Notamacropus eugenii: one gene and its partner. The protein of the gene in region 2 purifies or fractionates together with the protein of the main gene of each other region. This does not show direct contact. Links are inferred from orthologs where the notes say so. Each region holds a gene or a part of one and is shown on either strand. Other genes may lie near its edges.

The links.
Region 1: the proteins of TICAM1 (region 2) and TLR4 purify together in Homo sapiens (affinity purification with western blotting; 3 studies listed by BioGRID). This does not show direct contact. The link is inferred for Notamacropus eugenii from reciprocal best matches to the Homo sapiens genes TICAM1 and TLR4.

The regions. Positions count from the first base shown.
Region 1 is NC_092872.1:437,461,148-437,473,991, reverse strand, and holds the start of TLR4 (toll-like receptor 4), read right to left. Parts: upstream 5,813-12,844; 5' UTR 5,508-5,812; coding exon 5,421-5,507; intron 494-5,420; coding exon 327-493; intron 1-326.
Region 2 is NC_092875.1:72,298,649-72,311,077, forward strand, and holds the start of TICAM1 (TIR domain-containing adapter molecule 1), read right to left. Parts: upstream 6,421-12,429; 5' UTR 5,478-6,420; exon of another isoform or gene 5,463-5,477; intron 5,317-5,462; exon of another isoform or gene 4,694-5,316; intron 3,667-4,693; exon of another isoform or gene 3,544-3,666; intron 2,891-3,543; exon of another isoform or gene 2,651-2,890; intron 1-2,650.

The DNA of each region.
Region 1 (12,844 bases), on a different chromosome or scaffold from region 2:
GAGAGAGAGAGAAGGGGGGGGGGGTTGAGAGAAAAGAAGATGAGAAGGAAGAAATGAAGAAATAAAGAAAAACAGAGAGAAAGAAGGAAAGAAAGAGAAAGAAAGGAAAGAAGGAAGGAAGGAAGGAAGGAAGGAAGGAAGGAAGGAAGGAAGGAAGGAAGGAAGGAAGGAAGGAAGGAAGGAAGGAAGGAAGGAAGGAAAGAAGAAAGAATGATGGAAAGAAAGAGAATGAACCTTAATTATGTAATAAGTTAAAATTAGGACTTGAGAGTCTCACTTCAAAGAATAATTTCTAGAACTGATAAGAAGAAATAAGGGCTCATTACCTGGACAAGTCAAGGATTCTCAGTCCAGTGATCCTGGAAAAACTTCGTGGAGCTAAAAACCTCAGTGGGTTGAAGCTCAGGTCCAAGTTCTGAGTGGATGAAGGTATATCCATTGGGACTTCAGAGAAATTTTGGTCCATGCATTGGTATTCAATGCTTGGAAAAACCTGCATCATTCACAGATAAACCACTGGTGCTTATTATATGGAACAATCATGTTTATCCTGACTGCTTTCCTTATACTCTAAGTCAAACCTGAACAAGGGGATGTTAAATACCATGTACCATCGTCTATCACCTATGATTTATCCTCAGCTAGCGCTAAGTGATAAGTATTAAATTGAATGTCCATGAACTCATCTAGATATTTGTGCCTAGTTTAAGACTGTCTTTATTTCAGGATCTAAATGAAAAGTTAAAGGTTTTTTTTTACTTCATTTTTTAAATGAACATTTTTAAAACACTTTCTTCTTAACATCTTTAGGCACTGAATGGCACAAAAATTATTTCCCTCACTTTACCAATGAGAGAACTGAAGTGCAAAGAGATCAAATGACATGCTTAATGTCATATACTTTATAAGCAGCAGTACCTGGTTTCAGACCTTGATCTTCTCTCATCAAATTTACTGTCCTTTTCACTAAACCATGGTATCTCTTAAAGAGCCTGAGAAAATTAAAATAGGTAAGACTCTTCTGCCAGATTTCACATCTAGTACTTTTATTAAGGATATATATATATATATATAATATATATACATATATATGTATATATATTCCATTTTAATTAAACTCCATGTATCAAGCATAAGGCTGTAAACGAAGAGATATGAATTGTGCTCTTGGCTCTCCGGAAGAGAAGCTCTGTGACCTGAGATAAGTCACTTCATATTTTGGGGCCTCATTTTTTTCTTTGTTAATTAAAGTGGTAATACTTAGAATAAATGCCTCAAAGTGTTATTTTAAATCATACATAAATGTGAAGTGTTTTTTTTTATTTGTGGTAGTATTGTTACTAATAGCGATGTTTATGTTAGATGCCTACCATTTTATTTCACAGTCTAATTCTAGAAATGAAATTCTACTATGGCATAGAGATCATAGTCTTTGACCTTTATTTTGATCACTATCCTGGTAAAATGGAAGGAGTCTTGGCCTAGGCTGGGCTTTGTCTAGTTTCATCTATGACACTGTTAACTCATATGTGACCTTGGGCGAGATACTTTCTAGGCCTCAATTTTCTTCTGTCTTAAATCGAATAGGAATGAATTAGATGATACCTAAGATCACTTTTTCACCTCTAAAATTCCTGGTACTAAGATTCTGCACAATTACAACATTCTGTGATCTGGGGTCTAACATGATATTTTCTATGGTAGCATCTAGCTCCAATATTCAAAGTTCTGTGATTCCAGTAAGCTCTGAAATTATACAATTTCTCTACTTTTTGCTTAAATTTCTGGAAATTCTGTGTCCCATTGTTCCATAATCACTGCCTTTGGAATGATTTTCCCATTTTCATGCAACTAAATAAACGGTTTCCTTGACCACAATTTCAATTCTCTTTTTATTTCCAGGTGTGTACTACATATCCCTTTGCCTCTTGCTCTGTTACAATCTGAAATATTTCCTTCACTGTGACACAATGTTTCCTTCTCCTTTGATGCAGATCAACTTGGACTTTTCAAAAGAGAGAGAAATAGAATATAAGGGAAAAGAAATAGATTCTTAAAACAGAGGATTTGGATCTGAGCCCTTATGCTTCGACTTGCTAACTATATGATCTTCAGCTCTAAGCCTCAGTTTCCCAAATGTAAAATGAAGGTAATAATATTCCCTGCATAACAGCAACATTATCTACTTTTCAGGGTTGATAGAATGATTATATGAAATATTGCATGCAAATAAACCAGAAAGACCTAGAGCAATGTTCTTTATGGTTATCTATCTTTGTTGTTATTATTACAAGGCATTGATATCTTCCAAGTACTAGGCAACAGGGTTGAAGAAACCAGGGTGGGTTGCCTGTTTTTCTTTCTTAGAAATTCAGAGAGGGATCTTCAGAGAAACTGCAGGGGTTTTGGAAGAAGGACAGGATAGTAAAAAGTATTCTACCTTTGGAGGCTGAAGTCTGAGTTCAAATTCTAGTTTTCTCCATGAATGTATAAAAGTCAGTTTTCTTCTCTAGACCTATTTCTTCCATTGTAAAATGAATAAAGTGGGACGAGATTATCTTCAAAGGTTATTTCAGCTATTTCCTATAGGTTACTATGGCTTGGGGTTTCTTTTCAGCCTTTAAGCTACGGTGGCTAAAAGAACAAACCTAGTCAAAGCAGCAGTGGGATTCAGTGGACACAAAGTCAGATGACTCCAGTTTGAATCCCAATTCAATTTATTACCCAGATTTGGGGGAAGTTCATTCTGCCCTCTGAGTCGCAGCATTTGCAAAATTGGAATAATAGTACTTATGCCCACTGTATCCTACCTTACACTACTTAACTGGATAGTTGTTGTATATACATAAAGTATTGTAAAGCAATAAGGTATTAGATGAATAGAAGGGTTTTTTTTAAATCAATTTGCATTTATATCCAAGAAGTGTTACCAATATTTTGCCATAAAATATGATTTTTCTTATAACATATAATGAGTTTTTGAGAAAAAAAGAACTTACTGAAGTTTTATTTATCACAACACCAACATCATTTTCATGTGAACCTATATCTCGTTATAGTTATATAGACAATGTCAATAGGAGAGTTGGACTAAAATCACAGATTTGCTTTAAAAACTTTTTGAAAGCATATTCCTTAAACAGCCCAAAGTATACCTGTATTCTCATGGGGTCAGTTAGGCTATATGGGGAAAAAGTAGACCTTTAGCAGACACTGAGGGACATTACATGGAGAAGCTTTTACTTTTTGATGCTGGTAATATAATCAGAGTACTTTCTAGGGAAGAAACAAACCCCAGAAATTAAATGTGATCAGCATATAAGTTTGTTTTTCATTAAGAGACAAAACAATCAATTCTATGAGCCCTGTTCTGTTCTAGCAAAATTATGCCTTTGTACTGAGTTTTGTCTAAACAGATCTCCTAACACTTCAGGATGCAAAATAGCGAAAGTCTAGTAATATCATTCCCACTTTTCTCTTCTTGGCTCTGACGTTCATAAAAGAAAAAAATCTATGGCCAGATGCACATACGCAGAAAATGTTCATCTGCTCTAATCATTTGCTATGTCCCTGGTGTTCTTGGCTCCCAGGTTCCAGTGTGATGTCCTCAGCTGGAGTCTAAAGCTGGAATCTGCTCCTTTCTGGGGAGGAATCACCATGGCGATAGCCTTGAAAAAGGCCAGAAAAATTCCCCAGAATGCCAGGCACTGGCTGATATGATTTCTCTTGCCTTTTTTTCCTCCTGTTTTCTTACCTTCATTTTATAGAAGCCCAGATAGGGAGAAAGTCCAAATGTTCTATAGGCTTCTCTACTAGCTTTCACTTAGAAATAACAGAAACTTGAATGCTCCAAATAGATGTTTCAATTAATTTTCTTGTCTGAAACTTAGTTGCCAGCAATTTTGGGGCGGGGGGGGGGGGAGTAGGGGGAGGAGAATTTCAGCAGGAAGAATTGAGCATGTGAGCAGCATCTTTTTTCCTTTTTTAAAATTTTTCATCCCTTTTTTCTGCTCTAGAACTCTATGAAGTTTTGAGAAGCTTGTCATCCTTCATATGATAACCATTTTTTAAATTAATCTATAAGAAAAGGTTTCTAGACCAGATGGTCTCTAACATCTCTTCTATTACCAACCCTCTATTCTCTGAGTTATATTCCAGCTCTGACACTCTATATTCAAAGATCCTTCCCTTTGATCTCACAATGAATGTTCTAACATTCTATTTCTTTCATTTTTCACATGAAAAGACTCTGAGCCCAGCACAATGACATAACACCATGTTTGGAGGAGGAATGTAGTCTTTGCATATGATTCTGAAGCAACCTGTTAAGCCGGTGGACAGAATATAAAAGTAAACATGAGTCATAAACCCAATTATTTTGTCAAACCAGTTCATGGGTGTTTTGTTTACAACAAAATGATTCCCTGAAATGATCTACTGAAATATCGTATGTTTAAACTGGTTGTTTCATGTGTAAGGACACAGCTAGAGACAGCGGGCTAATTACAAGTTTGAGTCTGGACTTTACTTCATACAATCTATCTAACCTAGCAGCACGGGCCACAGAAAGACCTCTTGGCATCTATTGCAAAAGGCATTTATGTTAAAGTTGTGACAAAGACAACTGAAATAGGTGTTGTTGTTTGTCCTTCATTTTCAACGAGGACTGTGACATTAGGAAGATGATGCTATGACTTGCAAGTGAATTGGAGTTAAGTGAGGGAGGGCTGCATAAGGTCACCAGCCTCACTTTCTCCTCTGGAGCCATCTGGATCCCGTGGCAAGATAAGATCAGAACGACTGGAGAAAGCCCCCCCCACTGAGACAGGTGGTCCTACTTTAAAAGAGCAAACCCCTAGGAAAAAATAAAATCCAACAGAACTTTGAAGATGTAACACTTTCCTCTAAATCTCAGAGTTTCTGCTGAGATTACTGTGGAGCTAAAGGTCCATTGATTACACAAAGCCTAGGTTTTTGACTTCTAGCACCCTGGGCAAATATAGATTCAGGCTGCCAGCCCCAACAACAAGAGTTATTTCTTTCTGCTTCTGTATGCTTGTGACATTGTGAAGTTCCTAGTTTTTTGCTTTGTTTTGCTTTGTTTTTGTAAAGTAAGCTAGATCCAAGTTTATAGAGCCTTAGAGCATTAGCTATAGAAGGAAGCTTATAACATAGAGTATTAAAATTTTAAATTACCTTAGAAATCATTTAGTCCAACTTCTTCATTTTATAGTTGAGGAAACTGAGGCTTAGAGAGAGAAGGCTCTTACCCAATGTCAAACATCTGTTTGGTGCCCACACTGGAAAGTTTTAAACAGTTTTTCAAAACCTTTTTTTTTCTTTTAAGATGAAACAATAGAGAAGCCCTGAGAGAGGGGGCAGGGTGACACAAAATAGTACCCAATTCTCTTAACACTTACCTCTAGGCAGGAATGACAACTCCCAGGATCCAGACGGGAAAAGAAAGTTGTGGCTGTCATCAGAGCCATGGCCATCCAGGGGACCATCCTGGCATTTTCTGGGAGCAGAGATGGCAGTACGAACACATGGCAATGTGAATCTTCTTGGGCAGGTACCACTCATAAAACACAGAATTTTCTTCCCCAGGCTGGGTGCCCCACTGCAATGAGTATGCAAACTGGAGCAGGGTAAGGAGTAGAGAGGAAGTGAGAGTCACCACATTAGCATTCTGGGACCTTGTTTCTCAAGTATTTATCTTCTTTGGGAGGGAGAGGAAGTTAGAAGCAGATTTTAAAAAGAAATGTTTGTATGCCAGTATTTGAGAGAGTTTCAAGAGGAAGCTGGCTCTTATCCCAGGAAATTATCTGATATCCTCTTGCCTTAATGGACTTGGGCAAAGTACTGGACAAGAACAAACCATTCATGGAAACCACTGGCTATTGTAAGCCCAGTTTTCTAGTTCATGCTTGTTGCATTCAGTTATTCAGTCAAGTGTGTCCAACTTTATGTAACCCCATGGACTTTGCCCAGGAAGTTTTCTTGGAAAAAAATAATAGAGTGGTTTGCCATTTCCTTCTCCAGGGTGTCCCCATTTTACAAATGAGGAACTGAAAGAAATAGGGGTTAAGTGTCTTGCCCAAGGTTGTAGAATTCATAATTGTCTGGGGTTTGATTTGAACTTAAATCTGCCTGACTCCAGGCCCACTGCTCAGGCTACTGTACCTGTACTATACTTTAGCTACCTCAGTTCATAATGATGATAATGATGGATGACAATAATAGTATTTGATTTGACTCTTAATCATTCAGGACCTGCTCAGCCCACTGATCAATTATATACAATCTGATATACCCATTCCTCTGCCTGACATCAAACCATTTGTAGGCAACTTATCCTAAGGGATAGAGAAATAGGAATAAACAGTTCTATCTCCTCTAGTAAGTTATTCATAAGGAAGTAAACTTAAGTAAACTTTCCTTATCATTAAAATGAAAGGAGGCATAACTAAATGAACTCTGAACTCCTTTTTAGTTTTAATATCCTATTCTATACTCTCTCTATGTCCCACATATCCTAAAATTCCTATAAGTTTTAACATTTTATATCTTAAGGTTCCCTCCAACTCTACCTTTCTATGTTCTAGTATTTTATGCCTTTTATACCTTAAGATTCTTTCCAGGTCTAATGTTCTATGTCCAAATGTTCTAAGAAAAGCAAGAAAAGAAGGTCATGACTAAAATCTAAGTTATGCTTTCAGCTTAAATGTCTAGTGTTTTTTATTCTAATCAATAACCACTAGTTTCTAAGCTTCTGAAGGGAAAGAGGCAATCAATTCAAACTTACGGAATGAATAAATGAATGAAAGAATGAAGAGAAATGACAACATTTTAAGCTTCTCAGCAAAAACAAAACAAACAAAAAAAGCAAACCTGAATAAATACGTAAGCCTTGCCAACCCCAAGACAGAAATGAGACAGAGTGAACAGGATGGAGGGCAATCTACCATGAAATCACATTGTAGTGGTTACAAACCAACAGAACATTTTAAAGACCAGGGTTAAGCCCTTTTAAATCATATGCAAGAACAAACAGTGTCATGTGACTAATGTCCAAAGACCCTCTTGCATTTAATTTCAGCAATCAAAATTATAATCCACCCTTCTCCATGACATTTAGACAGTAGATGAAAAAAAAGCCTCTTACATTCAAAAATATAGTTTAAACAGTGGATGACTGTTTAATACTAGAGATAACATATCAAGGTTCAAGCTATCATAAAAAAATCATCTTCTCTGATGTATTGCTGAGTTTTCACCCAGTTAATTGGATCAGCCTCATCTCACAAACGCTGCTCTCTTTCAGGTCCATGGAGAAATCTGGTTTAAAATTGCCACTCAGTGCTATTAGGGACCTTAACATCTCAATTAACTAGTCAGCACACGGACAAGAAGAAAATGCAATGCAAAGGTGATTTGGATGTCCTGAGAGGGAGGGGAATCATCTCCCCTACTGCACAGAGGTGGACACTTTTCAATTTATGTGAAGGTCACTGCGAGGTTATATCAGAACCAAGTTCAAAGACCCTGGAATAATTACTAATAGTGATGTAGCATACATATCCTGGGAGTACAGAAGGCCTTATCAACTCATATTCTTAAATTCCCAAGGGCACTGGAAGGTGTCTAGATCTCTGTTTCTGGCATGCTGTATAATTATCCCCTACAGGCTGAGTCATAGAATACTCCAGTCACTGAGGAAGTGAAACTGTATATTACCCAAGAACCAGTGGAAAGACACGTATTGAGTATGAGTAGGCTTCAAAATAATGCAAACAAAAAATCATGAAGGAAAAGTGATGTTACAGGATATAACTAAAGTAATTTATAATATTGAAAAAGATGACATAATGGTCACGTAACAAGAATAAGCGACTACAGAAAGTTTTGATACTCTATTGATACCCTCAAGATGCTAAAAGAATTCAAAAAAAGCTAGCAGATGGGCCTCCTATGATGAAATTAGGAGAAAACATGGGCAAAATGCATCACATCAGGCTAGTTAATCCCTAAAGAATATGGAAACCCTTCTTGAGACCTGATTGGCTTAAGAGTCTAAAGATAGGGACTACTGACATGACTTCCTGCCTATGAAACAGTCAAGAGAAGCTTCAGATGTTCTCTCTGAGGCTTGAAAGAGAACAACTGGCAAATAAGGAAAGGACACTTCATTCAGATGAATCTACTAAATACTATAAGTAAGCTATAAATACTACAAATCCCTTGATTTGTTTTGCTGGATAGAATATCCACATAGATGAAATCACAGATCCATTTGATAATCATCTGTATGTTGGAAACTTTGGCATATCTTCTTTATAACATCACATGTGTAGGTTATAGGATTATTTGAGACTTTATGCTCATGTTATTCATGAATCTTAAATGTACATATACCTTATTTGCTTAAATAGATTGTTAGTCCAACGTAGTATAAAAGAAGAGTTCTTAACTTTAAACAAGTTGATGAACTTGTTCACGTAGCTACATGTTAATATAACTATTTCAATAGAATTCTATATTTTAATATAACTTTAATACAGCCACTATAGTTTAAAATAATCAATTTCCTTTGTAATACTTTGGATTTTACATTATGCATTTAAAAACATTATTCCGAGGAGTCTATGACAAAAGAAAAAATAGTTAAGAACTCCTGTTATGAAGCAAAATTTTTGAAGTTTAAGTCAAGATAAGAATTGAAATTCTGATTGCCCATGGGTAAGTCATTTCCCGTTTCTGAGTGTTAGATTCTTCACCTACCTTATACATCTATTGTAAGGAAAGCATTTTATAATCCATATCAACCCATATATTTATACTCATTTACATTTGTTTTATCATGTTCATTTCTCTTGAGGGCAAGGGCCATGTCTTTGTATCCTCCCTAGGACCTGAGACTGGATTGAATAACTAGTAGGAGCTCAATAAATATTTGTAAAAGAAATAAATGGAATCTTTGGGAGATAAGCAGTGGGAGAAGTACTAGAATGGTCTGGAGAATCAATGGACAGCTCAGAGCATTTGGAGCTAGAAGGGAATTGAGAGGTCATATATTACAATCTCCCTGGCTTACAGATTGCAATACTAAGACTGAGAAGGTGATGTAACTTGCCCAAAGTTACACAGATACTAAACAGAGGAGTTGAGAGTTGGACCCAGGTGTTCTGACTACAAATCCTTTCCTCTCTGACACTACAGCATGTTACTTTTCACACAACATCACAGATGACAGTAGCTCTGTGACCTTGGGCAAACTGATTCCCCTCTAATTTCAGCCTTCTTCTCATCTGTAAAAATGATTGGGCTAATTTCTCAGAACTATTCATTTTACAAGATTCCCCTGATTTGACAGTTTTCTCTCGTGGGTATTATATTGAAAGATACACAGATAAAGAAGTTGTCAGGCTACAGAGATGTGCTTAAAAAGTGGCAACTACTTTCCATAGTTCAGCACCAGATATTTGCTCATCACAAATTAGGAAATCTGTTAGAGCTAAGGGACCCACTCCTTTGTGTATGGGAGATGATGATGTCTCTGTGCATTTGTGCATGCATGTTTCTGTGAGTGACTTAAGTAGACCCTGTAGGCAAAGAATCATATGAGATGCATTTTTGCATTGAGATTGTGGTGGTAGTTATTACACAGAATGTTTTTTCTACTTTAGGGTGGAGTACTAGACATATTTTCAGGTTTGGTTGATATATATACAGGATAGGGGAATTGCCATCTCGCCTGACCTGGACTTACTTTTTCCAATTAATAAGCCTTAATTTTCTTTCTCCTAACTCCCTCACACTGAAGAAAAGCGGGAAAAAAAGAAGAAAAAACCCCTATAATTGGCATGGTCAAGCAAAATAAATTCATGTCACAACATATATATGTCATTTTGAATCTTGAGCTTATCACGTCTTGGTCAGGAAGTAGGTAACATATTTCATCTTAGATTCTCTGGAATAATAGTTGCTCATTTAATTAATCAAAATTCTTGTCTTTCAAAATAATTTGTTGTAATGTGTTGTAATAATATGTTGTAGCATACTTCATCTTCCTTTTTCTAGTCACTTCACCTTATATCACTTTTTACAAACCTTCCTAGGTTTCTCTAAAACCCTTCCTTTCATCATCTTATGGCACAGTAGCATTCCATTATATCCATCTATCCTAATTAATTTAGCTACTCCTCAACTGGTGGAAATCTCCTTAGTTTCCAGTTTTTGCCACAAAAAAAGGTTGCTATAAATATGGCTGGAAACATGAATGCTTTTCCTTTTCCACTGATCTTCTGAAAGTAGGCAGGCATGTACTCAAGCCAGCTTGAACTGACTCAGGAGAAAGGGTTATCCAATTTTTAGTGTGATACTGTACACCCCACAAATAGGTAAAGGCTACAAATCAGGGCTTGCCTTATTATTTTGTTGATTGTCTAGATTTAAGGTGATAAAGGTTAATAATGCAGAGTAATCTTTATTGTTGTTGCTCAGTTGTATCGCATTCTTCTTGACCTCTTTTGGGATGTTTGTGGCAAAGACACTGGAGTGGTTTGCATTTTCTTCTCCTGTGGATTTTACAGATGAGGAAACTGTGCAAACAGAATTAAGTTACTTACCTCAGGGCACATAGCTTGTAAGTGTCTGAGGTTAGATTTTGACTCAGGAAAGTTAGTCTTATTCACTCCAGGCCCAGCACTTTTGCTATGGTACCACCTAACTGACCCAGATTAAACTTTGAAGTGTGTTATTTTACCCTACTTTCCCCTTTTTGTGGTTTTGGGGAGCTCATTATTAAAGTTTTGCCAATATACCCTGAGTATAGATCTAGTAGTGTTATTACTCTTGGACTTACTTCTCTAACAGGGGTTTGGACTAGGTTATCTCAATGGCACATTAAACTCTTAACCTATTATGGTATCGCTGCATGAAGACTGAAACCTGGAAGTGAATAGCCCTCTAAAGTCAGATGAGGGTCTGCCATAGCAAGCCAGAAATTTCTTACTAAACTTTTTAGACCCACTACTTTCGGTTTTCCCTTGGGGTTTCCATTAGTATCCTTTAGTGTTCAAAAGCAAAAATGAAGGTCTTTAGGGATTCCCATGTCATGAAAGTCTAGCACTAAGGGGAAAAATCAGGAAATGCAATAAGAACTGACATAAAATCACATGGGTTTTATTGCTGCCTAGTATCTTTGGTGCCATAAATAATTTACTCCTTAAAGGGTGAAAGAGTTTAAATGAGTTCAAGAATAGAAGAGGAAATGATGGTTGTACAGTAAAATGCCATCAGTTATGTTTATTTTCCCTATCAGGTTCAAGAGAAAGCTACGCTTTTCCTAGCTGTAATGTGGAATGTTAGCGAAGGAGTCTCATTTTAGATATTTTCCAACCCATCAAGATGAGGAAGGGCACTTTCCAAAATCTCAGGGTCCTCTAAAAGATAGAACCCAGTCCTGGTTATAGAGCCAAGCCATACACTCCACCACCTCTCTTCACCACTACCTGTTAAAGACCAGATATTGTCAGTACTTGAAGAGGAAAACAAATAATTAAGACTGGCAGGTAATGAACATTTACAGATAATTATTGGTAATATTCAGACATGGACCTTATGATTGATAGCAATAGGTGTCATAAAGGTGATTAATAAAGAGGCAGGCAGTGTACAGATAACATATAGATGATTAATAATGAAAGCTTCGTGCAGTGCTTGTAGGAGGGGGGAAGGGAAAGCTTGAGTTTTTATTTCTGATTTGATGCCAATAAGAGAATTGTGTAGAGTGTCCCCATTTTAAGAAAATGTGTGTGTGTGTGTGTGTGTGTGTGTGTGTGAGAGAGAGAGAGAGAGAGAGAGAGAGAGAGAGAGACAGAAATGAAGGGAAGAAATTTGTTATTCACACACATGCAAGAGGAATTGTGCAAAGACCAAATAAGAAGGTGGGCCCTGCTATCAAAGATCTTCCTTCCTAATAGGTAAAGACAAAAAATAAAGGTGAGCTGGAAATGGGGGAGGCATTCCAGGGTAAAAAAGGAGGAAGTGTAATTTAACTGAAGAAAAGTGCACTTGACTGGGTCATTTCATAAAACAGCAATGCCAGTCATAGTTTGGAGAGCAGGTACAGGGAAGAAACATCTTGAGGCAGGCAAGGAGAGGCAATCTGCTGCGCTGAAAGTAGAACAGTTTGGGAGTGTAAACTCACTAATCAAATAATTTAAAGAAGAACTTATTTACAATATTAAGAAATAGTATGACTTTGAATGCCTCACATCACCTCTCTAGGTTGCAGTTTCTTACATATAAAACGAAGAGCTTGATTAGATGATATAAATCCCATACGCTAGGTTCTATATTAAATAGTCTATGTGCTATTACCTTCCAACTCTAGTATCCTTTGTTCTAAGGTCCTGTACTGGCAGATTGTCTAGGATTCAGGCACACAACAGTGTGGTGACCACAAGGCTCTGTAGGCCTTCGGTTTGCTAGGCAGCCTAATATCTCTTCTCTGCCACACTTTTCTTTGTTGCCTCCCAAACACCGAGCTAGCTCTGGCAATGCATGTCTGTCCACATCATCTCTGTGTGTACATCCCTGGAAAGTATGCTGCCAAGGTAAGCAAACATCCAGCCTTCAAAATTTCTCTATTTGTTGTTCCGCATATGAATGGTATAGTGTGGGCTGGTAGATTACCTGTTCTCTTAGTTGTTAATCGTTAAGCCAAAATTTGCACAAGAAGCAGAGAACTGATCTATGCTTGCATCTCAGCCTCAGTCTGTATTGAGTGCACAATCATCTACATACACACATACACATATGTATATACATACATACACAT
Region 2 (12,429 bases):
CACATCTAGGGAATGTCTGAGGTTGCATATGAACTCAGGTCTTCCTGACTCCAGGTCTAGCACTCAGTCCATCAGAATCTGCTCATTACTTTCTGAACATACCTTGTGCTTTCCAGCATCAGTATCTTTTTGTTTGCACTATTCACCTCACCCACAATGCTCTCCAACTTCCTTCTCCTCTGCAGATCTTCAAAGCCCAGGCCGAATGTCACCTTCTCTATGAAGCCTTCCCAGAAACCCCCATCTAGAGGTGATCTCTTTGGCCAATAGAAGTACTTCCATGAGAAGATTCATCACATTCTTTGTGTCAAGGACCCACAATCATGGTTTCATTGGTATAAGCTCTCCCTCCCCACCACACTGATGGTACAACCATAAAAACAAAATCCACTACTCTGTGGCTATTCCACTGACATATAAAAAAGTAAACCCATCACCCTGTGGCCAACTTTCTGTCAATGAGCCTCTCCATACTTAACAGGTTGGTCCTCATGGGATAGACATGAATCTTCACCTGGCCTGTAGCTGAAGCCCTTGAAGATTTGTGGGATCTGCACAGTAGTCAAGACTTTAGGGTCACCTCCATGCAGAGGGATCATCACACTCTACTTTGTATTCCGGCTATTTGTGTACATATCTTCCCAACCCCGCTAGACTATAAACTCCTAGAGCACCTGAGGGACTTCATCTTCATATCCCCCTTTGAAACCTAGCATAGGACCCTGTACATAGTAGGTACTCAATAAATGTATTATGAATGAATGAATTTTTATAATAAATAACAAGAGGAAACCATGGCACAACTAGTTGCAAATGTGTATGTCCGGAGAGCTCTTGAGTTCTGAATGCTTTCCTGAGCCCTAGCCCCTACTTCTAGCGTGTATAGTGGAAAAAGCATTGAATTTGGAATCAGAGGATCCAGTTTCCCATGGTACTGTGCCTCTGAGTAAGTCATTCTCTTCTCTGGATCTCAGTTTCCTCAACTGTAAAAGGAGCAAATTGGATTAGTTCAGAACTTCTTAGCCTGGGGTACATGAACTTGCTTGTTGATAACTGTATTTCAGCGTCAGTTTCCTTTATCATCCTATGCATTTAAAAATAGGATTCTAAAAATAAATAAATAATAAGACAAAAAAAAAGATTTCTTTAAAAAAAAAACACAATGGGATTCTGAGAAAGGATCCATAAGCTTCACTAGACTGACTATCAAAGGGATCCGTGTCATAAAAGATGTTAAGAAACCCTGGGCTAGATGACTTCTAGGGTAGGGACTCTAGACTCCAGGACAACGTCATTTAAACAGTTCATTGGCATCTCCAATTCAACATTTAAAACCCTTCACATTCTGGATCAAGTTTAAATTTCCACGCCAATTACAAATTTCTACCCCACCTCCCCCATGCACTTAGTTTTTCAGCAAAACTGGCCTACTTGCACTTAATATTTCAACTGCCTATACACCTTTTTGTAGGCTGTTTTCCATCCCTAGAATGTTGTCCTTCCTTATCTCTTGGAAGCCCTAAGGTCCTTCAAGGCTTTGCTCTGGTGTAACCTCCCACATGAGACCTTTCCTAATTCCTTTGACTATCCTTCCCTTCCCCAGAAATTACTTTGTGCTTCCAAATATACCTTGTATTTGTTTATAATTTCATAGTAGAATATATGAGGACAAGGACTCTTTTTTTTCCTTGTTTTGACATGCAGTGCTTTGCACAAAGAAAACAATAAATGCTTCTTGAATATAACCTTTCTCCAAAATTTATCCCTCCTCTCAACTTTCCTAGTCCTGTTGATAGGATCATCCACTCACCCAGTGGGAAAACCTCAGGGTCATCTCTAACTCTTCCCAGCCCCTCATCCTGTCAGTTGTCAAGTCCTGTGCCTCTTACATCTCACATCCATACCCTTCTCACTACTCAAAGGGCTACCACCCTAGTTAAGGCATTCACTGCCTCTCATGGGGGCAGTTTCAATAGTCTCCTAAGAGGATCTCTCTTTCTCTAATCCATCCTCCACGCAGCTACCAAAATAAGCCTCCTATGGCCTAGTTCTGACTACATCACTCCCCTGCTGAAACATCTTCAATGATTTCCCCTTACCTACTAGATAAAATGCCAGCTCCCTACTTTACAGTTCCAGCCCTTCTGAGGTCTATCTCCAACCCATCTCCCAAATTTATTTTATGCTCCTCCCCTTTCCATACTCTATGGCCCATTCAGGCTGAGCTACTAGCAACCCTTCCATCCCCATCCCCCAGTCTCTTCCTGTTGAAATCCTTTCTCTTCCTTCAAAGACCAACTCAGGTACTATCTCCTTCAGAAAACCTTTCCATATTCACCCTAAGATGAAGGAGACCTCTCCTCCAACCACTTAGTTTGCCTTCTTCATTTTCCTGAATTGTATAGTTATTTACAGGTCTATATCTCATTCCTCCAAAGGATAGTCCCACTTTGTTAAAAATTATATCTTGTTCTGGTCTCCCTGACCACCACCACCCCACTTCTAGTCAATCTAGTTAAGCTTATAAGTGGTCAGTATAAAGGAGCAACAGCAGGAAATTGCAGAGGGAACCTGGAAGTCACATACAAATCAACCCAAACATCCAAGAAGAATAATTTACAAACTGGATCATATATTAAGCAAAATTCACCTCCTGGTAATATGTGCTGAATAAGGGAAAGCCATCTAGGCAGTACTGTCAGCATTTTGGTCCTATGATATCTGGTCCATAGACAAAATCCAGACCTCCACAGCTCCACACCAACAGAACATCAAAAGTTGATCGTAACATTGAGATGATGTAGGTACGTTAACTGAAGTATTACCGACAACTTTGAGATGATGTGGATGTTAATGAACTAATCCCAAGGTGGCACAAATAAGAGATGGTCTGTTTCAAAAACAAAAACAAAAGACCTTATAAGAGTGAGACATCAAACTCATGCCCCCTGACCCCTCTTGGGTCCATGCTGCCTAGTGCTTCTGACTCTAATAGTTATATAAGTGATACCTTCTGCCTCTCCTCCTTCCCATCCTCTTCCCTACGATTCCTTTCCCATCCCATCCCCTGACCTCACATCACCATCTGCCTCTGTATCCTTCTTGCTGCTTGTCTCTGTATTTTCTGTTGTTTGCCTTCATTAATGTGTGACTGCTGGCCTGTTTCTGGCTGCCAATCAAGGTCTGTCCTGGAGAGTACCCAAAGAACTGGGCATGCCTGCCCCCATTTCACAATTTCATAAATTATCGATTCATCCATGATGTCAAAGACCAGAATGGTTTTTCCCTTCATCTGGTGTCCTGCACCAGCAAACAGCAACAGATTTCATTACTAAGAGCAGGGGTAGATGGAGAGTTTAGTTAAGACTTAGTGGTTCTCTATCTCCAATTCAATTCATGAAGCACTTAACAGTGAGCTGAGCTGACCTTGTCACTTCTCTGCTCAAGAAGCTTTTTCAGGGGCTTTTTAGTGTTTTTAGAATAAAATATAAATTCTAGCCACCCAGGTTTATAACTTGGATTTGACCCTTAGCTGTCACTTACATCACTCCCAATAACCAATAAGTTGTCCGTTTTGTTGACTGAAAATCTCTCCAATGTATCCATGTTCTCTCTTCCCTAGGTAACGACTGAAGGGAAAACAGGCATTTGTAATCTTGGTACTCCCTACATACAAAGCAAAAGGCCCTTTAGATTTTAGCAGGTATTTTGTTAAGATAATAAAACCAGCTTAGTTTAAAAAAAAAAAGAATAAAGTGAAAAATATTGATCTGAAATATTTTAGTAATATGAAGTCAGAGATATGATTGTCCTAACACTCAAGTACCTTTGTGAACAAAACACAACAAAGGAAAAAGGTAGCATTTGGGCTGGGCTTTTAAGAGCATGGTTAGGAATTCAACAGAAGATATTTCAAGCATAGGGTAGAGTGAGCAAATACATCAAGGTGGCAAAGTTCAAGAAATGTTTGGAGCACAGAGAACTATTAAATTTGGCTGAGAGTTTGTAGGAAATAATACCGAAAAGGTAAGGTGTAAATGGACAGATTCATCTTCCTGAGTTCAAATCTGGCCTCAGACACTTGCTATGTAACCCCAAGCAATTCACTTAACTCTGTTTGCCTCAGTTCCTCATCTGTAAAACGTGTTGGAAAAGGAAATGGCAAACCACTCCAGCATTTCTGCCAAGAAAACTCCATATGGGGTCATGAGGAGTCGGACGTGGCAGAACAAACTGACTGGAGTCCTTAACTTTTGGGGCATTTGGGGTCATGGGTCCCTTGGGCAATCTGAAGAAAATCTACGGATGCCTTTTCAGAATGCTTTTAAACGCATAAAATAAAATACAGAGGATTCCAACGGAAATCAATTCTATTGAAATCCAGTTACCCAAATAGATTAAAAACTCCTAAGGTAAAGGAATGTCAGGGAAAGTAATTTAACCTTTGCTCAGCAGAGCAGTGTGACGCCTAGATCGATGACTAAGATAGTGGAGGCAGTAATACTGGTCCTAACAGGCACTTAATAACAACCTCCTGCCCTTCCCTTCTTTCTCCCAAATCTTGTCTCCTTGAGTGAGGAATCAATCAGCTTCCACCACAAGGGAAAGAGACTATGGATCCATGTGGGATCCTGAGCTCAAGATGACCCAGGAAATGGTGGACTTCCCTGCCCCCACTGGACCCTGCCCTTACCTTTCTTTGGAAGTGCAGAGTGCCAGAGTGCTTAGTCGGGACCATACAGAGAAGACCATACAAAGAATTTCCCAAGACCTGGCGGAGGAGTGGGGTGGGAGTGGGGGACACTAACTGCCCCAGAATGAAGGTTCCAATCCCAGTACTTCCAGGCAAGGCCAAGCACACCAGCCGCTCCCCCGAGGAGGCTGGATGCGGAAGCCGGACAACCAGATGGGTTACCGAAACTTTCAGCAACGTGTTCCGAGTCCGGCCCGGCCCCTCCCTCGGATGTTTGAGTGGCACCAAGATTTTCCCTTTTCCCCAGCCACTGGAGGGGACTGACTGGGACTTCCCCAAGAGACGCGATGCGTTTCGAGGCATAAAGGGGTAGGGGAGGCGGTATCGTCCGAGCATTGCTCTCCAGTGGGTACTCAGAGCAAACTTCATGTTCCAGGCAGGCTGAGCCAGGAAGGGCCTCCTGGACCCAGGAAGGAGAGAACTCCTGAACTTCAAACCTGGGCGAACGGGAGTATCCAGCTCTACCTGGGCTCTGGAGAGAAAGGGTGCGGAGCTAGAAACTCCGAGGACGAAAGGGTGGGATGGGGAGAAGTGGAGAAGAGAGGAATTCAGAACGGGGGAGGGGGGGGGGGGCGCTGGCGTTAGTGACAGTCACTGCGAACGCAGACTTGAGGGAAAGCTCAGAAGGGGTCGGGACTCCACCAGGAGTTCGGAACCCTGCGAAGGAGAGCTCCCAACTCTGGAGGACAGAGAAAATTCCGTAACCAACCTAAGACAGTCCTACCCGCCGACATGGGGTGTCCGGATCTTCTAATCATGCAGCCCTTCAGGGTGCTCCCTGGGCCTCCAGAGCTCCCCAGGCTGAAGGTGGGGGCAGACCGCGGGCGGAACCACCTGCGCTTATTCGGGCCGGGGAGGTGCCAGGTCTGTGCCAGGTCCGTCTTACTCCGCTGCTAGAGGGTGGATCCGTGGATCCGTGGATCCGTGTACGCCCCAAGCGCAGGGAGGCTGTACCGCCCCTGCGCCCTCTGAGAGGGGCAGGAGTTCTTCCTTCCTAGCTCTCGGCTTTAGTGGAAATCTGGATTTTTTAAAAAAAAACAAAACAATAGAATTGCCTCCAGTCTCCAGCTAGGGAAAAGCCCCTAATCTGTCCCTAGCTACCGTTTCCTCCGCTTACTAACTACCAACCTGGAGGAAGAGAGGGGATAGGAGAAGGGATGGGGGAAGGGAAGTGGAAGTTGAACTTACTCGTAGGCTAATTGTTTTAATTGATTTTTTTTTTTGGTTCTTATATTTGTTTTTTCATTTCTTAATGTATATCGTCTCTCCCTGACCGAGCAACCCCATTCTGCAGATGAATAAACTAAGACTCATAGACAGAAAGTGACCACAATCATTCATTTAAGTGCCTAATCAGAGTTAGGTTTCCAGCTGCATAAACAAATGAAAAAGGGAACCAGTCCCCGCCTCGAAAGTGCATATTCCGGTACAACATTATGGAAAATAAATAATTTGGTTGTAACAGGGACGGTTAGATAGAGAGATGGGCCAGGGGTAAGCAAGACCTGCCCTTGAATTTCCCCTGGGTCCCTTATTAGGTTAAGTGGCCCTAGATAAGCTACCAACCACCTCTACCTGCCTCAATTTCCTTTTCTGTAAAATGAGGGTAATAATAACACCTATTTCAGCTATAGAAATGCTATTGTTGTTAAGGTACAAGATAATTTGAAAATGGTCAGATGCTTTATGGGAGGGATGAGAAGGAGGGGGCCGGATTCTGAGTCGTAAGTGGAGAAGTCAGTCATTCCAGAAGTGTGTGAAAAGGCCTGGGGAGAGGAAACAAAGTTGAAAGTGAAAGCAAGCTTCCTGGCTCCAAATCCACTCCCTTTCTCATGAATCACATTGCTTACTACCTAGCTGCTTCGGAACTCAATCACTCCCTAGTAAAAGAAGTTCTGGGCGAAGTCAGGTGAGGCAGATGACCCTGGCTCCTCTGCCCCTCTAGTTCCTCCTGGCCTGGCTCCTCCCTGACCCCTTTCTTTGGTTTGTCCTTCTCTCCTCAGGGAAGCTGGGTAGATTCTGTGGTGTTAGCTACTACACAGAATCCCAGAGCATATATCTCTCTCTATCTTAGCCTCAGTTTTGTCATTTGTAAAACAAAGATAATAATAGCACCTACCTCCCAGAGTGATTGAGTAAAGCTCAAAATATATTTTAAAAAAAAAATTTTTTTTTTAAGGGAAGCTGGGTTAAGTGACTTGCCCATGCATACACAGCTAGTAAGTGTCAGAGGTCATATTTGAACTCAGGTCTTCCTGACTCCAGGGTCAATATTCTATTCACTGCACTCTCTAGCTGCCCCAAATCTTAGCTTTTATTGTAATAACAGTAAGAAGTATCAGGTCTTAGAAAAGGGGAGAAGAGAAAGAGGAGTGTCCCATGGTAGGATAATAGAATCTCCCATTTCCTTAATATTTCAATACTGTATTCGAAAAGCACTTTCCTCAATACCTACCTATGGAGGTTAGGGGTCGGAGTCATTTCACAGGTGAGGATACAGGATCATCTGAGAGCTTTAAGTGGCCCCAGGCCTACAATGACACACCCACTGTACAATGTTACAAAGCCCTCTGGCTCCATTTTCATAGGTACCCAGAGAAGGAAGGATAATACCAATATTCTCCCCATTTTACAGAAGGGGAATAGGAGTTGAATTAATTTGCCCAAGGTTGCCACAGCTAAAAGTAGTATAGAAACAACTCCAAGCTAGAACTCTCTCCACACCACTGGTCCTGAGGCTATTTTTAGTACCCCTGAGTTCCCTATCCCTCCCTACAGAGGGCTGGACTTAGAGTCAGGAAGACCTGAATTCAAATTCTGCCTTACTAGTGTTATAATCCCTGGATGAGTCACCTAACTTCTCTCTGCCTCAGTTTCCTTGTATGTAAAAAATGAGAGGGGTTGGATGTGATATCTAAGTCCCTGCTAGCTCTTAATTTATGATCCTCTGATCTAGATGTAACTCTTCCCCTCCCCCACAGAGAGTTCTAAAAAGATTTTTACTTCTGTTCTCAGTACCATCTGCTTCCGTAAAGCCTGGTTTCTGTCAAACTTGGACAGACTCATAAAAACCAGAATGCCTCTTATAGCACCCTCTGGTTTTATACTGCAGCAATCACAGTGATGGGCCTGAAAAACCAATGGCAAGGCTTCTTCCTGTCAAACTTACTACGAGTTTGATGTCAGAGCAAGTGACTCAGTCTCCCATCCTGTCTCCCTCAACCAGTAAGCAGTTACTGTCTACTTAGTGTGGGCCAGACACTGGGATAAAAGGCACAAAAAGCTCTCTTGCCTTCAGAGATTTTACATTCTACTGGGGAAATATATGTGTAGCAATAAACATATGTCAAAATGAGACCAGGCAGTAAGCAGTAATTAGGGAGATCTGGTCTCGAAGACCCAATTTGTCTCCAACTTCAGGGAAATCATTTCACCTTTCTCAGGCCTCAGTTCCCTCACCTGTAAATCATGAAGAGAAGAGTGGCATTGGTGCTACAACATCCCATCCTGGGCCATCTGGGAATGATGAGTTCCCAAGGTTCCCCAGGCTGATTTTGGAAGGACAAGGAGCTTAGAGCCATCACTCCGTACCAGAAGCTATGCCTGCCCATTCCACAGGGTTTTCTTGAAGAAGTAAATAAGACAGTGAGGGCAGGATGGGTGAGGGTATGTGGAAAGTCAGCTACTGAACAAATATCCGAGGAAGACAGATAAGAAAACTTAAGTTTGCCCGAATTTGCCACAAGGTACCAAGTAGAGTGAAGAGCCTAGAGTCTAGAAAATTTGAGTTCGAATTATGATTGAGTTACTAGCTGTGTGACCCTAGACAAGTCACTTATCCTCTCTCAGCCTCTGTTTACTCATTTGTAAAATGAGGATAAGAATAGCACCTACTTCCCAGGGTTGTTGGGAAGATCAGATGGAATAACAGGTAGAGCAGGTGAGGATCACATCAGATCAGGGTCCTAAGGTGAAGAGGAGCCTAGTATTTTTCCCTTCTCCTTCTCCCACCCCAAACTGCCTAGAAGCCCTAGATCCCATTCAGCTCAGCTCCTAAGCTCACATCAGATCCTAAGCAAGGACATAGAATTCAATTAATTCCCAAAGTCAGTTTAGGGTTGACATCCTCTCTTTGACAAGAAGAAAACAGAAGGCTATAATGCCTCATTGGCCAGACCCCTTAAAAGAAAAAAGTTTGAATTCATCATGAGAAATGCCAACTCAACCAGGACTTGAATTAATCTTTACTCAACCTATTTCTGAGATTCAGCCTGTAGACCTACCTAAGTCTCCATCAGTAACTAAGCCTGGGGTCAGGAAGACCCGAGTTCAAATCCAGCCTCAGCCACTTACTAGCAGTGAGATTCTGAGTGAGCCACTTAACCTGTCAGGTTCTTCAACTCTCAAGTAGGGATAATAACAGCACCTACCTCAAAGGACTACAGTGAGCATTGTGGGTAAAATTGTTGGTGCTGCCACAAACCAGAACCAAAACCCCCAAACTAAAACCCAAATCCAGTACCACAAATTTAGAAACCAATGGGTTTATTGAATTTGTCAGCAGAAGAGTCCCACCTGTAGGAGCCAGGCCTCCACAAAGGAACAAAAGGACAAAGCTTCAATTTAGGCAGGAGGTGAATTGGGTGCCTCAGGATTAGACAAGGACATTGCTGGGGGCTTGTGGAGAAGGAATAGGGAATGTAGTATCCTGTGATTGAACAGGCCTATTGCTGGACTAGAAACTAGAAAGGCTCTTCTTCAGTTATCTTAGCTATCCTTTGAGACCCTGCTAAATTGAAGAGGCAGGAGACAGGTTGTGATACAAACAGGGTCAGTGGTAAGATAGAGGAACTACAGACAAAATGAAGTTGGCTTTTTCTTTCTTGTTATTCATGATTCCCTTATTTGAGACTATTGGCAGTCTCACAATTAAAAAAAAAATTCCCAAATCAATCCAAGCAGAAATGATAAGCAGCTTACAGAATAGGTAACAGATCCATAGCACACACAGAACTAATACAACAAGCAACATTACAATAAGGTAAATAAAGAAATCCAGCATAGTTGTAGCTTTAGGAGGTGTCAAGTCCTTTGGCAGTGTCTATAATCTTCAAGTATCTGATAGGTACCTCTTGTACATCTCTCAAACATCTGCGCATAGATCAGGATAGGTTTGTGGAGGTATTTCCTTGACTTTCTACTTGCATCCCTTTATAGCAATTCAGAGATGCTGGGGTATTGCAACAATAAGATTCATTACATTTTAAAAATTACAGTTTTACCTGCCATAGCTAGAGAAATTTCTATGAAAGGAAGAAGGAGGGACATGGTTGCATTAACATCAGGACTGTACCTCCAGGCCTAAGCACAGAATGACTTAACATAGATATAACAGGATAAAGCATCCCTAGTTCTGTTTGATTTCCTTGTCACAGTTAACTTTTTGGAACAGCCAATCTCACAGAAAAGTTCCACCTTATTCATAGAATACCATAGCCAGGCTGAAGATTAACCTGTTGGGAAACATTCCTATTCAAGAAAGAAATTACCGAGGCAAGAAGATCCTATATTCACCTATGAAAGGTCATCCTTTCCAATTTCCCACCTGTAGCAGCTCTTGGATCACATTCCATTTGAACAGCTCATGGAATTTTCCATGAATGGTATTGACAATGATAATTCAGACATTTTTACCCAAATTCAAAACTCAGAACAATATCAAATTCCAGTACCAAGAGATTTTACCTCAAATAGCAAGTTTCACTAATCACAACTTAAAGCTAGGTACAGTTATTATTTCTCTCATGCTGTTTACAGTAACTGTTAATGATAAAAAGTTTACCAAGCCTTTCAAAACAATTCACTCAACATCCTTTTCTTCTTTTTTCTTTTTTGAGTTTAAACTCATCCTGGTTTATAAATCAATCCATAACAATTAAGAAAATAATTTCATGCTGGAATTCCACATAAACAGTGATTATATGACAGTTTACTCTACATCCAGAAAAACATTGATACTTCCAGGTATAATTTCACAATTTTCATAATCACAAACCATCATATAAGTTACAACCTGTAAATTCTCCCCCAGCTTTGGCAAAGAGTGTTCGTGTTAGAAGAGAGGAATCCCATTTTCTCAGTAAACCAACTGATTATTCTGGAATTTCACAACACTTAGCAAGTTCTTTCAAAGGACCAATAAGATTTTGTGACCTTGTCCAAGCAGATGGTCCCAAGGAACCTGACAAGATTACATATAAGAAGATTTTTACAAGGATTTCTTCTTTTTTTTTTATTTTCTTACAAAATAATTACTATTCTTCTCTTTTAAAATATACCCAATTAAATACTTGATAGGTTTTAACATCACGATAGCCTCTAATAATTTAATAATTTCACAGCATCCAGATCAAAAGGAGTTAAATTTTCCAATCATACAATTGCATCATCTTCTTAACAGCATTTCTTATACAATGATTTCTCAAAATTCACAATACAAGAAAATTTAGAATATAAACAATAGTAATAAAATTAACAAATTAACAATAATAACACACACAATATCATGTATTTAAAACATGAAACAAAACTTATTGCCAGCCATATGACATCGATTTAATTGAATGCCTTTCCAAATTATCTTACATAGAAAACCATTCATGTGATCACTTTGGGCATTCTACTGGGAGGCCAATCTGCTTAGATTGAACTTTAAGCTTTCTATACTGCAAATATATTACTGCAGTATTCAACGCAGTATAGATTGCATTCAAGACCAATATAGAGTAATTTTGATCCAATTATACCTTTAGCAAAACTTGCAGTTCCTAAACACATTGCTAAATACTAATGCTAAATACTATATTTCCCTTAAGGCCTGATTTCCTCAAATAATTCAACACTGCAAATATATTTCTATGTTTTCCGTATAAATAACCAGATTGTATTTCTCATTTCTATTTTATCTCAACAAGATCAAAAATCTCCCTCAAACTCCAAACCTTTTACTTTCAAATTCTCCATTTACACTCAGTGCAAACAGATTATAACTTTCTCTAACTTTCTACCTATTCTCTCACCACTACTTAATTAAAACTTCTTCCTTTCTTCCTTTTCATATCCCATAGTGGATGGTGATTAAAGTCCTTCAAAGTGCCCCTTTCTTTTTTCTTTCCATATTCTGATCTGACATTTCTCTTACTTTTTTCTATTTGCTTATTTCCTCTGGTCTCTATTTCCTAGGCATATCCCAGACTATTGATAGAATTTATCTTTTTCACCCCCCTTCCCCTACTCAATTTCTCCTTTGCCATTTTAGTTCAAGTTTTTATTACACAGTGCCAATTTGTTGCAATACTGTTCCCTTTGGGGGGTTCTTTAGAGTTTATAAATGCATGATTTTTTCCAAAACCTTTAGACAATTTTGCTTTTATTTACCTAAACAATTACATTCTGTATATCATTCACAGAAAAAAAATAGTGGAAACACAAAACATTCTCCCAAATTAAATTTTACTTATTTTAAAGTTGCTTCCTGGTTTAAACAAGTTTTTTTTTCTTTTCATGGTCAAGAAAAGAGGTAATAATGGGCATGTTATAAGTATCAGATAAATTCAAACTATATACAGCAAACCCATTTTTTTCCTTTACTTTGAAACTTCACTGACAGTGCTTCA